Arabidopsis thaliana: one gene and its partners. The protein of the gene in region 1 purifies or fractionates together with the protein of each later gene. This does not show direct contact. Each region holds a gene or a part of one and is shown on either strand. Other genes may lie near its edges.

What was found.
Region 2: the proteins of ER (region 1) and EPF2 purify together in Arabidopsis thaliana (affinity purification with western blotting, with the first as the bait; one study listed by BioGRID). This does not show direct contact.
Region 3: the proteins of ER (region 1) and EPF1 purify together in Arabidopsis thaliana (affinity purification with western blotting, with the first as the bait; one study listed by BioGRID). This does not show direct contact.

Annotation. Positions count from the first base shown.
Region 1 is NC_003071.7:11,208,364-11,216,183, forward strand, and holds the start of ER (Leucine-rich receptor-like protein kinase family protein), read right to left. Parts: upstream 6,300-7,820; 5' UTR 5,533-6,299; coding exon 5,454-5,532; intron 5,108-5,453; coding exon 4,969-5,107; intron 4,868-4,968; coding exon 4,796-4,867; intron 4,692-4,795; coding exon 4,620-4,691; intron 4,529-4,619; coding exon 4,457-4,528; intron 4,367-4,456; coding exon 4,295-4,366; intron 4,217-4,294; coding exon 4,145-4,216; intron 4,069-4,144; coding exon 3,997-4,068; intron 3,914-3,996; coding exon 3,842-3,913; intron 3,749-3,841; coding exon 3,680-3,748; intron 3,595-3,679; coding exon 3,523-3,594; intron 3,447-3,522; coding exon 3,375-3,446; intron 3,287-3,374; coding exon 3,215-3,286; intron 3,126-3,214; coding exon 3,054-3,125; intron 2,986-3,053; coding exon 2,914-2,985; intron 2,827-2,913; coding exon 2,755-2,826; intron 2,629-2,754; coding exon 2,557-2,628; intron 2,475-2,556; coding exon 2,403-2,474; intron 2,317-2,402; coding exon 2,245-2,316; intron 2,159-2,244; and 16 more. Other genes in the region: AT2G26340 (uncharacterized protein), read left to right, coding at 6,891-7,119, 7,246-7,294, 7,396-7,466, 7,556-7,650, 7,738-7,796. UniProt on the Arabidopsis thaliana protein: Receptor kinase that, together with ERL1 and ERL2, regulates aerial architecture, including inflorescence (e.g. shoot apical meristem-originating organ shape, elongation of the internode and pedicels, and adaxial-abaxial polarity), and stomatal patterning (e.g. density and clustering), probably by tuning cell division and expansion.
Region 2 is NC_003070.9:12,470,811-12,474,698, forward strand, and holds EPF2 (Putative membrane lipoprotein), read left to right. Parts: upstream 1-2,057; 5' UTR 2,058-2,179; coding exon 2,180-2,273; intron 2,274-2,361; coding exon 2,362-2,426; intron 2,427-2,617; coding exon 2,618-2,821; 3' UTR 2,822-3,164; downstream 3,165-3,888. UniProt on the Arabidopsis thaliana protein: Controls stomatal patterning. Regulates the number of cells that enter, and remain in, the stomatal lineage by inhibiting protodermal cells from adopting the meristemoid mother cell (MMC) fate in a non-cell-autonomous manner.
Region 3 is NC_003071.7:8,982,220-8,985,565, reverse strand, and holds EPF1 (epidermal patterning factor 1), read left to right. Parts: upstream 1-1,751; 5' UTR 1,752-1,986; coding exon 1,987-2,074; intron 2,075-2,160; coding exon 2,161-2,387; 3' UTR 2,388-2,703; downstream 2,704-3,346. Other genes in the region: AT2G20870 (cell wall protein precursor), read left to right, coding at 2,905-3,327. UniProt on the Arabidopsis thaliana protein: Controls stomatal patterning. Regulates asymmetric cell division during guard cell differentiation. Mediates stomatal development inhibition. Not cleaved by the protease CRSP (AC Q9LNU1).

The DNA of each region.
Region 1 (7,820 bases):
AAACTACTCACTGTTCTGAGAAATAACTTGTCCAAACCGAAGAAACAGTTGAGCATCAGAAGCACTCATGGAAGAGCAATTGACAGAATGAGGAGTCTTGAGATTTGCATACTCATCGACGTAGCACGAACCAGCCAGCGTCGCTGACGTGTCAGTCGCAGCAGGTGGTTGTTCCGATAGCATAAAACTGCCGAGAACACGAGTCACCTGGTGCATTGTGGGTCGATCATTCGGCTGTCTTTTGGTGCATAGGAGTGCCAGTTGGAAAACTTTCTTCACCACACCGAGATCTTTACACGTCGATGTGATGTCTGGATCTGCCATTTCCATCACTTCATTGTTCCCCGTCTTTGACATTATCTGATGTAAGTGAATCAATGAAAACAAGATTACGGACTTGACCTAAACAGAGCAGCTGAGAGAGATAGGCAAGAAAGAACAAACCAGATGGTGGAGATTGGATTCGTCATCAACGGCTTTCCTTCGGGTTAACAACTCAAGAAGGACTATTCCATAACTGTAGACATCGGATTTCTCAGTGAGCCGTGAAGTGCGAGCATACTCGGGGTCTATGTAACCTATCGTGCCCATCACGTAAGTTGAAGTATGTGACTTTGACACACACAAGCTTTTCGCTATTCCAAAATCTGTCAAACGAGCCTCTAAGTCTTTGTCCAAGAGAATGTTGGACGACTTCACGTCTCTGTGAATGATCCTTGGACTACAGTCATGGTGTAGATAAGCTAAACCTTGTGCTGCACCATATGCTATCTTAAGCCGTGTGTCCCAATCAAGAGTCTTTTTCTTCGTAGGGCCTTTACAAAACACACAAGCAAGTTGTTATGTCACAGAAGATTCAAATAATTTTCTATGTTTGGCGATGAGACTTACCATGAAGAAGATCCCAGAGGCTACCATTTTCCAAATAGTCATAGAACAGAAGACTCCCCAAGTGAGAGAGGGAATAAGCTTGTAGGCTCACAAGATTTCTGTGCTTGATGCTACTTAGCATCTCGAGTTCTGTTTCAAACTGTTTCATTGACTGTGGGTTGTGAGAGTAAAGCCGCTTAATCGCAACCGGTTTACAATTCTTCAAAACACATTTGTATACAGTGCTTGATGCTCCGTGCCCAATGATATACTTCTCACTTAGATTCTCTGTCATTCTCATGATATCCTCGTAAACGTGGAGTGCCATGTTCATATGAAGGATGACGAGCTTCGGTGTCGAATAAGTTACTGATGTCACCAGGAAATTTAAGGATTAACTATTGGATTACATTGTAGGTGAAGAACATTCGTAAAGTGGTTTGGAGAGTAGACCTGGTTTGTCAAGTGATCCATCAAGAAAAGGAGGAGGATTATGCGGTCGGCAAGCTGCTATTAAGACCATGAGAAGGATCACAAGTCCCCCAATAGCTATTCCAAGAATAGCTGCTCTAGAGATTGACACTGCAGACAAAACATGGATAGAAACATGAGCTTTAATTATCTTAGGTTTTGTGAATGGAAGCTTTTAGAAGAATGTAATCACCTCGTACAGTTCGACGAGAATCATGACACGGTGAGTTTAGCCAACTACCGCAAAGACCAGGATTGCCAATGAAGCTTTATCCAAAAACATAAACATAGATATTAGCAAACAAAACAAAATGCACAATACCAAAACCTGCTAAATTACCATACCTGTCTGGTGAAAATCTTGAGAAGTTATTGTTCTTAGGGATATCACCTACGAGGTTGTTATGAGATACATTCCTATAAGAGTTAGTGAAGATTGCAGGGTTATATTCTTAGCAAAAGATGCACAAAGAGGGACAAAAAATGTTTCAGAACCAAAGGTGCCTACTTACAATACAGTGAGACTGAGACAGTTGGCTAATGAACCAACATTACCAGTCAGGTTATTATTTTCCAGTCTCCTGCAAGCAATTTTAAGAAACACAACATTAGATAGATCACCAACCCAATACATGTTCCTGGATCACACTATAGTGACCTCATTATTGTGTATACAGAGTTTTAGTTTCATTCTACAAAAACAATTTCTTAACAGCTTGGAAGGGATAAGAGGAAGATTGCTTACAGCAAAATTATGTTCTGTAATTGGTTAAGCTCTTCTGGAATTGGGCCAGAGATATCATTATTTGAAAGATCTCTGCAACCACAAACACACAAATTCAGAACAGTAATTGAGATAAATGAAAAAAACTCTAACCAAGCAGATAGAAGTTAACTTCTTACATTTCCATGATGCTTCTTAGATTTCCAAAGTCGCCTGGAACTACACCAGTTATATGATTTCTACTCAAGTTCCTATAACAAGAATGCAAGAGTTCACAAACCATTTTCATCTTTTGCTAGAAATAAACAATAAAACTGGAGGTCTTATGGATGCTCACATCTTGAGAAGATGCTCCAAATCACCAAGGGAAGAAGGAATGATTCCATTTATCTTGTTGTTGGAAAGATCCCTTCAAATGTCATTAAATTTAATAAATGTGAGACAAGGCACATATAATGATGTATACTTCACAGAAAACAAGAAACACTTACAATGTATCTAAGTTACCGATACGAGATAGCTCAACCGGGATTGGACCTTTGATATTGTTGCTGGACAGATTACTGGTTGAACCGATAAATCAAAGGCAACCAAAAACTCAGTAGTTAATGACTTGAAATTCGAAAAAACAAACGCTGTGGAACTATATATTATATAAGATTAGAGAAATTCTCAGCGTCGATACTTACAGGTAAGTCATACTTTCTAGCTTTTGAAATGCTCGGGGTATAGTGCCACTAAACTTGTTCCCATGAACATTTCTACATTACATTAATGAGACACAAAATCATATAAAGCACCAATCTTGAACATTCAAGTGAGAAGTTTTCAGAGAAAGAGATACATACAAGCTGTTTAGATTTGTGCAAGAGCTCAGATGATCAGGTATAGGTCCTTCCAGATCATTGTTGGCCACATTCCTATATGTACATAGTTCATATAAGCATAAGAACATCAAAACATGTCAAGCATAGGAAGAACTACTTACAGATCAAACAAGTCAGTAAGCTTCCCAAGCTCTGGTGGTATATGACCCGTGAGATGATTATCATTGAGTTCCCTATGAATATTTTACAAATAGTTGATAAGGAAACACAACTTAGTAGTGACTGTATGCAAAAAGAGAAGTGAAGAGAAGGTTGGTCATACAGGTAATGGAGTTTTGACATGTTTCCAAGCTCAGGTGGAATTGAACCAGTCAGCTTGTTACTGTGCAAATACCTAGAGATAAAGCCAAAAAGATAAATCACTATCATTAACATGGTATGACATTTGACTCCAAACTGAAAACAAACAGGTAAAGAATTACAATTTCTCGGTGAAAGTAAGATTTCCGAGAATCGGAGGAATAGATCCACTCAACAAGTTGCCACTTAGATCTCTGTAAAAGAAAACATATAACCTAAGTTCATGAAAATGTTATAAGTAGCTTCATTGATTAGAAGAAAAGTACTTACAAGACTGCAAGGGCTTGCATGAGACCAATCACTGATGGAATCTTCCCAGAGAGTTGATTGCCTTGCAATGATCTAAGATAAGAAAATGATCTTCTTTAAAAGAAAACAAAGGCTAGCCAAAATTTAAAGCAAAAGATTAGTAGAGGTGAGAACTAACAATGTTGCAACTTGCAGGAAGCCGATGTCAAAAGGGATCTCACCAGTTAGCTGATTGTAGGACAAGTCCCTGAGTTCGTAATAAGCAAACCAGTTAAGTAGATTTTCTTAAGTAACCCAAATTACAGTAATGATGTTTAGAAGTAGAGAAAGAGGCACATACAAAACCTGGAAGGCAGTGCAATTTCCTATCGTCTCAGGTATACTACCAGTCAAACTGTTGTTTCTTACGTCACTGATTCAATATCAAAACAAAGTCAGATATTTGATATTTACAAAAGAACTCATCATACTATTCAGATGTGCAAGAAGACTCACAAATACCAAAGACCAGTCAGTTGACACAAATCTGGAGAAATGTTACCGACTAAGTTGTTTCCTCGCAACCCACTGCTCATCATAGTACAACAATTATCACCGGGTAATGAAGAGACATTGACAGACTTCAAAAAACATTGACACTTACAGATACTGAAGAACTTCATTCCAGTAAATAAGTCTTGGTATCTCACCACTGAGTTTATTCTGTGCCAAGTCCCTGCAATTGAAATTACACATGTATGATCACCTATATAGCTAAAAGTAGTAAGACATGTAAGAATCATGGGGAACATACAGAATTTTCAGGTTTGGAATCTGTGAAAGTGTTGAAGGGATCGGTCCTATCAATTGGTTATTCTTCAGAATCCTGGACAAAGTAAAAATCCATATTCCACATGGTGAGTATATTTTTAGCAATGACATATGAAGACTAGTAGCAGAATAACTAGCTACTTACAGCTGCTCAAGTTGCTTCAACTTCGAAATCGAAAACGGTATGTCACCACTTAATTCATTGAAGGATAAGTCTCTGAATAAAAAACAACATGAACACACTTCATCAAATAAAACCTCTATGAACAAAAGTTTAATGGTAGAATAACACCAATCACTGTTCTTACAAGTTTTGCAAAGAAGAACAGTCACCAATCTCATCAGGGATTTGTCCAGACAAGCGATTACCTCGCAGATCACTACATTAGAAAAAAACAGAAGACAAAAGTCACAACTCAGAGAGTGGAATAGAATTAAAGTAAGATACTTTATTTCATGCTACAGTGAATGTTGAAACAGTTACATTGACAAGAGACTCTTGAGATCTCCAATAGCAGGTGAGATTTCTCCATCAAGATTCAAATCTGACAAATTACTACAAAACATAGAAAACACACACAAAACAAATTACAACTTTTTCCCACAAGAACACCAAAAACCACTGTAATAGTAATCTAAAGGAATGAAGAAACTTACAGAGCAACAACATTGAAGGTGACATTTTCACAAGACACACCTCTCCAGACACAATAATCCGAAGAAGGTGAAGTTGTCCAGTCATAAAGAACATTGTTCACATCTTTGAATGACTTCTTAATCTCCAGCAACGTTGCTCCTTTAATTTTGTTTTAAGGATATTTTATTAACACACACGCACAAAAACAAAAAAAAATATTTGTCAGTTCTTGAGAAGATTAAAAATTCAACTTCCAAGAAAACAAAATAAAACTCAAACCCTAATTTATTCAAAGCTTCTTTTGATTCTATAGAAGACCCACCAAGTAAAAAAAAACCATTACAAAAAGCAAAAATAGAAAATAACAAGTACCCAGATCTCATTTTCACCAAATGAAACTTCAAAAATCATATAAAAATCTCATCTTTAAGTTTTTTTCACTAATATAAAACAAAAAGACGAAAATCTTGAACTTGAAGAAGCATGCATCAGTATAATAACTGACCCTCCTCTGAAGTCACAGTAGCTACTAAGCTCAAGCAGAAGAGAAACCCAAGAAGAACAATATCTCTAAACAGAGCCATTTCTCACACACAGTCTTAAAACGACTGCGTTTTTAGATATACTTTAAAAGCTTTCAAGTCTCCATGAAGAAGAAACAGAGGATAGAGAAGAAGAAGAGAACCGTATTATGTACCGACATTAGATTTTTTTTCTTTCTTTTATTATGATTTCTACAGAAATTTGTTTTTGTTTTTTTACTTTAACCGAGAAAAAATGATTTTTATCGTTCCATCACATCAAATTCTGGCGGAAATTTACAGTGGTTTCATTGAGTGCTCAGACGACAGAAATACAGAGTAAGATAGAGATGGAGAGAGAAAGAGAGAGAGTCTTTAAAGAGAGGAGATTGTACAAATGTAGGGACCTGTTGTGTAAGAGAGAGAGATGAAGGGAAGAAGAATTATTTGGGGAGGATAAAGTTAAAAACCCCATCATCTTTTATCTCTCTGCCAGAGTTCTGAAGCTTTGCAGAAGAGAGAGATAGAGTGAGTGAGAGGGAGTGATTTTGTTTCTCTCTCTTGAAGGGTAAAACGGTCATAAAATGTAGAAGAAGAAGGAGAAGAAGAACATGTTAATGGCAGTGGTGAATAAAGGAGGTCGCTTTCGTTGCCCAATACTTACGAGTCTTTGTCTCTCTGTGGCTTGTTTCACAGATGACCCATATCAATAAATCCATCTTATGGGTACTTTTGTAATTATGTATTTTTATATGATTTTAGTGTAATTTTTTTGTTTGCTTAACATGTTCTTCTTCATCTTCTTACTTCAATTACTAATTTAAATTCAGGAGTTTACAAAAAGTTTGGTTCAGTTTTCTCTTCTTTAATTATTAGTATAGTTGTTGTGTTTTTGTCAACGTTTTTTAGTATAGTGAACGTGTGATTTCTAAGTGTTTTTGTTTATTACTAAATTTAGAAATATGCATGCCAATGATTTTTGGTTTAGCATCAACACAAAACTTAATAAAATATGATTGGTTTTAGGATGTTAACCGGTTTGGTTGGCTCCGGTCGGTTTGTCACAAAATTAATATTTTGAAGCTTTGAGAACGAAGTGGACTAAAACTAAAAGGGTCACAGGCCCAACAAAAGAAGGAAGAACTTAAAAAATAATAATTCCTTTTCATTTTAACTTCTCTTTTTTTTTTTGTTAAATCATTTATTTGTTTCAATAAAAATACACATAATATTATCTTTTCTCAAAAAGTACTATATAGTTAGAAAACTACATATTTATTTTAACCCAAATTATTATTTTTCCATTCCTTACACACTGTACGTTACACTTTTTATTATCATTTGCTGTACAACGTTAATATTTTTAACCATTTCTGCAATTGTTTACCTCTTTTTCATCCGCAAATTTCTAATTAAATTATATGTTGAATGTTCATAGCCATAATAATAATTTGTCCAACGGAGATAAGACGCCTCTGGTGTTATCCCCAATGTCGTCACTCCACGCTACCGTGAGCCTCCCACTGTTCTCCAACTCAAACCACAAAAAGCTAACGTGCGCAGCTACATTATCACCTCCGCCATGGAAACAGAGCCGGCGAGTTATCTCCGTCTCCTTTTTTCTCTCCCGTCTCCTCCTCCTCCCTAACGGTACACGCATCTCTCTTCAAATTCACCAATCCGATTCTCAATTTCACGAACTCGATTTTCAATATCACCAATTCGACTTTTGTTCATTTCAAATTTGGTTATTTATATGTTGATGATGATGATCAGATGCTATGGCTGGTGGCTTAATGGATAAATTGGATAAATACGTCAAGAGGTAACATTAAATCGTCTCCGATGCTTATTCCTTTGAATTCTGAAGTTAGATTTTGAAATGTTTGGTGAATTATCTAAAACTTAAAACCAGTTATTGAATAGGAAGAAACTTGATCCACTTGAAGCATATGTACCACCAGTGATTCTAGCTCAGTTACAAATCCAGGATCTTGGTAAAATTTCTCTGTTTTTTTGTTACACATTTGTTCTTAAAACTCTTGCTATATAAAACTTACACTCATGTTTATTTATGATGTTGGAGAGGGATTTTTGAATGTGGAGAAACCTGAATTTGAGGCGTGTAGACGCCAATTGCGGTCTGGTCCTGCTAGCTCTCTTCGTGTAAACATTCGAGCTGTAAGTTTTTAAAGCTCACTTGATGTCACTCATTTGGTTTCTGTTTGATGATGAAATGTGTAATGCAAACTCTTTCAGGTTGCTCAGTATGCTTCAGATGATGGTTTCTCCAAAACCGCCACTGATGATGTTGATCGATGTTTAAGGTACCGACAATGTTTGAATGAATG
Region 2 (3,888 bases), on another chromosome or scaffold:
AAGGAAATTGCAATTAGAACTTCAAAAACCATAGTTTGACAAAACATTCTTCTAGGATATGGTGTAAGTTTCCATCTTTAACCCTCTATTAAAAACTTTCTATGTTTTGATGTAGTGGTTTGAATCGTTTATGGTTTATGTGTATTGATGGTTCTCTTAACTTTCACAATGGAAGAGTTTTATGCTTTCATTTCTCAAACGGCTGGGGCTAATGGATAGTCAGCATTAGACAAATATTTGAATGAGCTGGTTTTGGACATGATAGCATTTAAGAGCATGGATATTTTGCATATTGGAGAAATAATGCAAATCGGTTCAAGGAGTTGTCTAAAATTGTAGCTTCAAAAGTCTTCATTCAGCATAGGAAGTCGGGTCTTAAACAAGTATCAGAGTTGTCTCCTTCCCTACTAACGTTTAAGCTTTGATATGCGCGAGGAATTGGCTATTTGACATATTTTCTTTTGTCATATTTCAATCAATTTGAATTTAAATGTAAATATGTTTTTTTGTTGTACTTAGATGATCATATTGAGTTATTTAATGAAGACAAAGATGGCAAGGGAGAAATATAAGAAGTTTAAATTTGCATTTAATTGCTTTTAGATTTGATACTTTGTTGAATTGTGTTCAAATTTGTTTTTAGATATATTTCAAAGTATAAGACTTTTGACTTATGTATTGATTAAAATATGAACCAAAAACTATTATGTTCAAATTTGGTTCTGATATGCCCATTGAACATCCCATTTGAACATAAACTTTAATGACATGAACGTTAATAGACATGAGTTTTAGTGGACATGAACTCCATTTATCTAATATCAAAATAGACATTATTAAAAATTGGAATGTGTTAATGGATATGGATAGCCTGCTATAGACTACCATTTTTGTTGGACATATCTTAAATTATCAACGAAGTACTCAAAAAATAAGAAAAAAATTCTGAAATAGTCTTGACCAACATTTCTTTCTTCTTAGACCTTCGAAACACATAAAAATGTTTTCTAGACCAAAACACATATTAATCATCATATTTGTTGGAGCTCAGATTTTATATAAATATCAACCAAGAAGAAAGGACTAGTTTAACCGCTAGGAATCTTTTTGTGACCAGAAAACATTTCTGCCTACGCTAGGAATCATCTATCAATAAAACATGGAATTTCTTCGTTACAAAAAAGAACTGAAAAATATGCTAAGCTCATTATTTGGTGCTTTGGGAAAAGGTCATTAAAACCAAGGGCAAGGTTCACGTTTGTGTGACAGGTTATTTTCAAGATGTCTGAACACTTTTTGGCTGCTTCTGTAAGTTCTCTGCTCTCTCTCCCATTGTGAACCTTATGACTACAATTATTAACTATTCCCTTATAGTAACTCCTTTTTTGGTCCCACGCCATATATTATATACCATATCTTTACGTATAAAACTTCTCTCTATATTCATGATACCACTAACACTTACATATTTAATGCTTCGACTTTTGTAATTATACATTCGTTCATCCTTGTGTACAATATGATCGATGGGCTTCTTGGTCTTTTAGCGGTAGAACTTTGTGTATATTAATATATATATATATGATTTACTGGTCATATTTTTTTATATAAACTATGATGTATTGGTCATAAATCGATGCTCAACTAATTTTTTTTTTAGTTTTATGTTGAACTATGATTTGTAGTGAAATATAGTCTTCTAGTTAAACATTTTCATCCATGGTTTATAATATGATTGATGAGATCTTCATATTATATATCCACTGACTGAACATGAAAACATGCACACAAGTCACAACCATATCTCAGGCTTTATTGCTACGTACATGTGAACAGTTTCTCATATTCAAAAATATTCATAGCCCGCGAACATGTTCATTGGTAACTAAAAGAATAAATCATAATGATTTTTTCTCAGAAAATCGACGAGAATCATGTGACCCTTCAACATGTGTGCCTCTTTTCATCATTTATTATCATAAATCATAAACACATAACCAATTCTTTCTCACCTTTTCCTCAACTATATATACACATATCTCACTTATCCCACCTTTAATACTTCACACACAACACATAACACACGTAGTACTTGCTTCCTATCATTTCTAGAAACTTCTCTTTAAAACCTCTGCCTCAACCAGAAAGTTTCTTCTTGTTAAAAAAAAAGATTATAAACATGACGAAGTTTGTACGCAAGTATATGTTTTGCCTCGTCCTAGTCTTCGCCGCGTGTTCTTTGGTCGTTAACTCCATTCGCACGCCGCCACTAAGTCCGTCACATCAATATCTTTTGGTTATAGTTTATATTTTACTTGGTAATGATTTTCATATATTAACATTTTATACTTTTTAATGTAGAAAACACGGTCAATGGCGGAGAAAAGAAAAACGCCGATATAGAACAAGCTCAAACGCACCACAAGGTAGGTCCTGTCTCCCACGGTGCACTTCTCTCATTTTAATTTATGTGCAAAAATACCATATTTTAATATATAAAAATATTTTTTTAATAATAACAACTGCATTTGATTTTTTCTTTTAATTAATTTTTAATTTTTTCTTTATAAAAGAAGTCATTGTCAATTAATTGTTTTCTTGTTGTAATGTGGTGAAGAAGGAAATAAGCAAAAACGGAGGGGTAGAAATGGAAATGTACCCAACAGGATCAAGCTTACCGGATTGTTCATACGCGTGTGGCGCATGTTCGCCGTGTAAACGTGTGATGATTAGTTTCGAATGCTCAGTCGCCGAATCATGTAGCGTCATCTACAGATGCACGTGCAGAGGGAGATACTATCACGTGCCATCTAGAGCTTGAATTGAATCTCCGCCGTTTATTTTTTTTTGACGTCTGTGATTAAAATATCAGTTTTGGCTGGCGGCGAAACTTTTTTTCTATTGTACAATTTGTTGGGATATTAAATTAAATGCTATTGGCCCACTTTGAAGTCTTATAATTAATATTGGGCTTTATTAGGCCTTTTCAAAGAGAGTTTGTATGACACGACCGAATCAGATTCTTGAACCGGTACATCACAAAGTCAAATGCTTCGGTTGGCCAATTATTTATTGTTTCCTTTTAAAAGCCATCTCCATCATACCGGTAACCGGTTAAACCAAAAAAATCATTTATGTAACAATGTGTAAAGTATAAACTTTTTCTTACTATGGATCGTTTTGAAATTTACATCTTCTTACATTAATCTGATTTGCATTAGTTAAAGAAATCATTTTCTTTTGTTCAAAAACTTAGACGTTTTTTTTTTTGGTTTAATTTAAAAAAAAACTTAGAAGTTAGAATAAAGTTTTGTTCTTCATTTTTTTGGTACACGAATAAAGATTTTTTTAGTTGTTTTTTTTTGGTAAAACTTTTTTTTTTGTTTTGTTTTTTATTAGTTGTTTATTTTCTCGTAATTTCTAATTTATGTTATGAGCATACAATATTCTATAGATTTTAAGTGTTTTTAGGGGAAAAAAACATTTGTAATAAATTTTACTTTTGTGTTTAAACTTTAAGCTATTTCCGTCTCGCTTTTTAAAGTGAAGACTAGTCTATGTTATTTGACTATGAAAAATGAAATTAAAAATGATTTTAAATCAGAAAATAAAACAATGACTTTGGCAAATAAAAATTTATTTATATTAATTTTGTCTTCCCATTTTGAAAAAGAAAGCTTGAAAATATCCCAAGAAGACATGGTCAATAGTCGAAGGAAGAAAGATAATGGGATGCAACTTGCAGGATTGTTAAATGACATATGACTGTTGAAGTAGCTCAAGATATATGGGCTACAAAGTCAACATGAAACATCTTAATCTGGACTGTTGAAATAGTGTTATCCTACGCAAACGTTAGATTTGTTTTTAATCAACTTTGAAAGATAT
Region 3 (3,346 bases), 2.2 Mb from region 1:
ACTTGAAACACACAAATTAAAAAAAGCTTATATGATAGTATAAGTTATATCTCATCCAACTTAACGTATCAACTAACTCAATAGAAAAAGAATGTACCCTACCCATGTCAGTATCACCATACATTCATAATATATATAACTTCTTTTAGAATTTATTTAAATTTTGGATGGCTGTTTCGATACATAACCTTCTAATAAGAAGTGTAAAGGCAGGCGTAAAAAAAGATTCGACCTTAAAAAGTAATTAATTTCAAGTCACATGAATAATAATTAAAATGATGTAATAACAAAATAACGAAAACATCTAAATAATGCTAAATAATTATAAAACGCTAAAAATACATCGTTTTTAACTATATTTTTAATAAATGTATTCAGAAATATTAAATTATTTTTCCAATACGATAAAATTAGATAAATGTTATGGATTTTCTTATCATTCACAACAAGGAAAAACTCTTGGATGGTAAACTGAATGGACTTTCAAGGGTTGAAAAATGGAATGTTTTCTGAAGCAGACCGATTTTATACAAGCCCCTCAATTCGCATTAGTAAAACCGATGTCTCCTTGCATAATATGGATTCCAAATATGTTATAATGTCTATTGACATGAAGAACTTAGAAACCTTGGTACATATTAAGATGACGTGGACGCAAGGAGGTGCCAAGGTGGGAGGCTGAAGTCTTAAACTTTCGGCAGATAAAGATAAACAAACTCCAAAACAAAACAAAACAAAAAGAAAACAAAGACAAGGGAAAAGGTTCGTGTTAGAAGAAAAAGTCAACAGCTTAAAGCTTAAAAAGTCGGTGAATGAATGGGTCAGCTCTCTCCACTTTCATTATCTCTCTATGCTCTATCTCTCCAATCATAAAACTTGCTATTCCAATTAAACTTATACACTATCCATTAGTATTTTATGTAGTATTCTTATTAAGATATTTTAACGTGGTCCATCATTCTACTTAATAAGTTTTTCTCTTCTTTTAAATTTATTGGCAGCAGTTTGAGAAAACGATTAGATTGATTAAGAATGCAACGAATGTCAAATCCCAAACCATTATCTTATACCAGTTATATTATGAGTGCTTCATATTTATATATTAACTTGCCAAAGTTTTGAAGATTATACTATGAAGGCTACTCAAAGGGACATTGATTCCTAGAAGATGATTTTATGATGTTAAGCCGTTGACTTTGGTAACTAAATCATTTGACCTTTGATGTTTCTGCCCCCTTTAGCAAATAGAAACTTAATAAGAAAATTTTCATTGAAATTTAGCATCCCAAAGAAAGGTGTAGAAAAGTTATAGTGTAATGTGATTGGTGAGGTGCATGTTCGACACTCTTCAAATGTTGATTGAAACTTTTTTTTGTGTGCAAAGTTGATTGAAACTTTAATATTTTTTCATTAATCGCTTAAAGTGTAGTAGTGTCAAAATATTGAGATGTCAAGTATAGAACATACTATCATTTTCAAAACAATTGTGCAATTTCAGTATAATCAGTATTTAAATCATTAATAACCTCATGTGTAATTAACTCTATTATATTATCGATTTTAAAACACAAGCCCCAAGACAATGTCCCTCATTCTATCTCATCAAATGCTCAACTTTTTTTTTTTAGTAAGAACATTAATTGGGTGCATTAATGAAGGTCACAGAAAAGAAGGGTTATAGAGGGTAAATTAAAGGTGATTGCACACAAAAGTATGTCTTTCAGTTTTTCACAGAGGAAGCTCATGACACTCACCAAAGCAGCACGAATGAAGTTCAAGTTCTTAATTAGGCTTCACATACTCTACATCATCTCCTCAAAATTTATATCATTTCATATGTTCGATCTTGTTTTCATGTGACTCTCTCCTCTTCTCTACCGTGAGTCTCTTCAATTTCCTAACCCTTTGTTAACGATCATATATACCTTGTTTCTCGCCGTACTATTTCATCCCAAATTTTACTTTTACCACTTGCGATAATATATCATGAAGTCTCTTCTTCTCCTTGCCTTTTTCCTCTCTTTCTTCTTTGGCTCTCTCTTGGCTAGGCATTTACCAACATCCTCCCATCCAAGTATGTATCTATGCACATCTTTCTTACTCCAGCTCTTTCACTATCTTCAAGATCTCTAACTTGTTCATGTCTGCGTGCATGTGCAGGTCATCATCATGTAGGAATGACCGGGGCATTGAAGCGTCAGAGGAGGAGGCCGGACACGGTGCAGGTGGCTGGGTCTAGGTTGCCAGATTGCTCACACGCGTGTGGCTCGTGTTCTCCATGCCGTCTTGTGATGGTTAGCTTTGTGTGTGCATCCGTCGAAGAGGCTGAGACTTGTCCAATGGCTTATAAATGCATGTGCAACAATAAGTCCTACCCTGTCCCTTGATCAGCCTCTTCTACACTTATTCTATGCATTCAACCGTTTTGTTTTCCTTTTGCTTCTCCGGGACATGACCATGTGTACGTATACAATGCATCTTTAATTAGTTTCTTTCTTATTATTAATAGGAATCTTAAACACAGTTTGATCCGAGATTAATTAATCAGAAAATATATGGATATCAAAAAATGAAAGCCACTCACCTATTTGGGCTCTCTCGCTGTATTATGGTCCATGAGGCCGTATTTAAGACAGCAACAACAAAAGTTGTAGACAGAATTATATTTAAAAGGCAACAACAAAAGTACGTATACGTTGTTACCACCAAACTTTGGAGGCTCGCTAATAATAACCACACTACCCATTTGTTACACACCCTTTATTTTCAACCATATCATCTCACCTTCGTTAAATGTTCCCACAATTAGCTCAGTATTTTACTATATACATACACACACATTCCCTCCACAGGATCAAACAAACACACGAGCTTTCTCCTCTACAACAAAATAAAATAAAATTAATGGCTTCTTCACTTATCACCTCCGCAGTCATTGTCGTGGTTTTAAGCCTAGTGCTTGGATCTGTAGAGCAAGTGAGTGGACTACGTCACGTTCCCAAGTCCCCTAAGACCACTGATGTCAAACACCCTGACTTTCTTGTAACCATTGAGCCCAAACCAACTATTCTCATTCCCGGTGTTGGAAGGTTCTTGCTTCCTCCCAAATGCAAGAAGCCGTTCTACCCTTACAATCCTGTCACCGGAGCTCCACTTACTGGTGGGGGAATCCCATCATATAATGGTGGACAAGGGGCCGGACCTCACACCCAACTCCCTGGTGGCGATGATACGCTTGTCCCAAACCCCGGATTTGAAGCGCCAACCCCGACCATTGGAGCTGGCACCGGAAGCAACGGCCAAGTTCCACCAGTGCCACTACCCTGAGTATTATTAATCTGTCAAC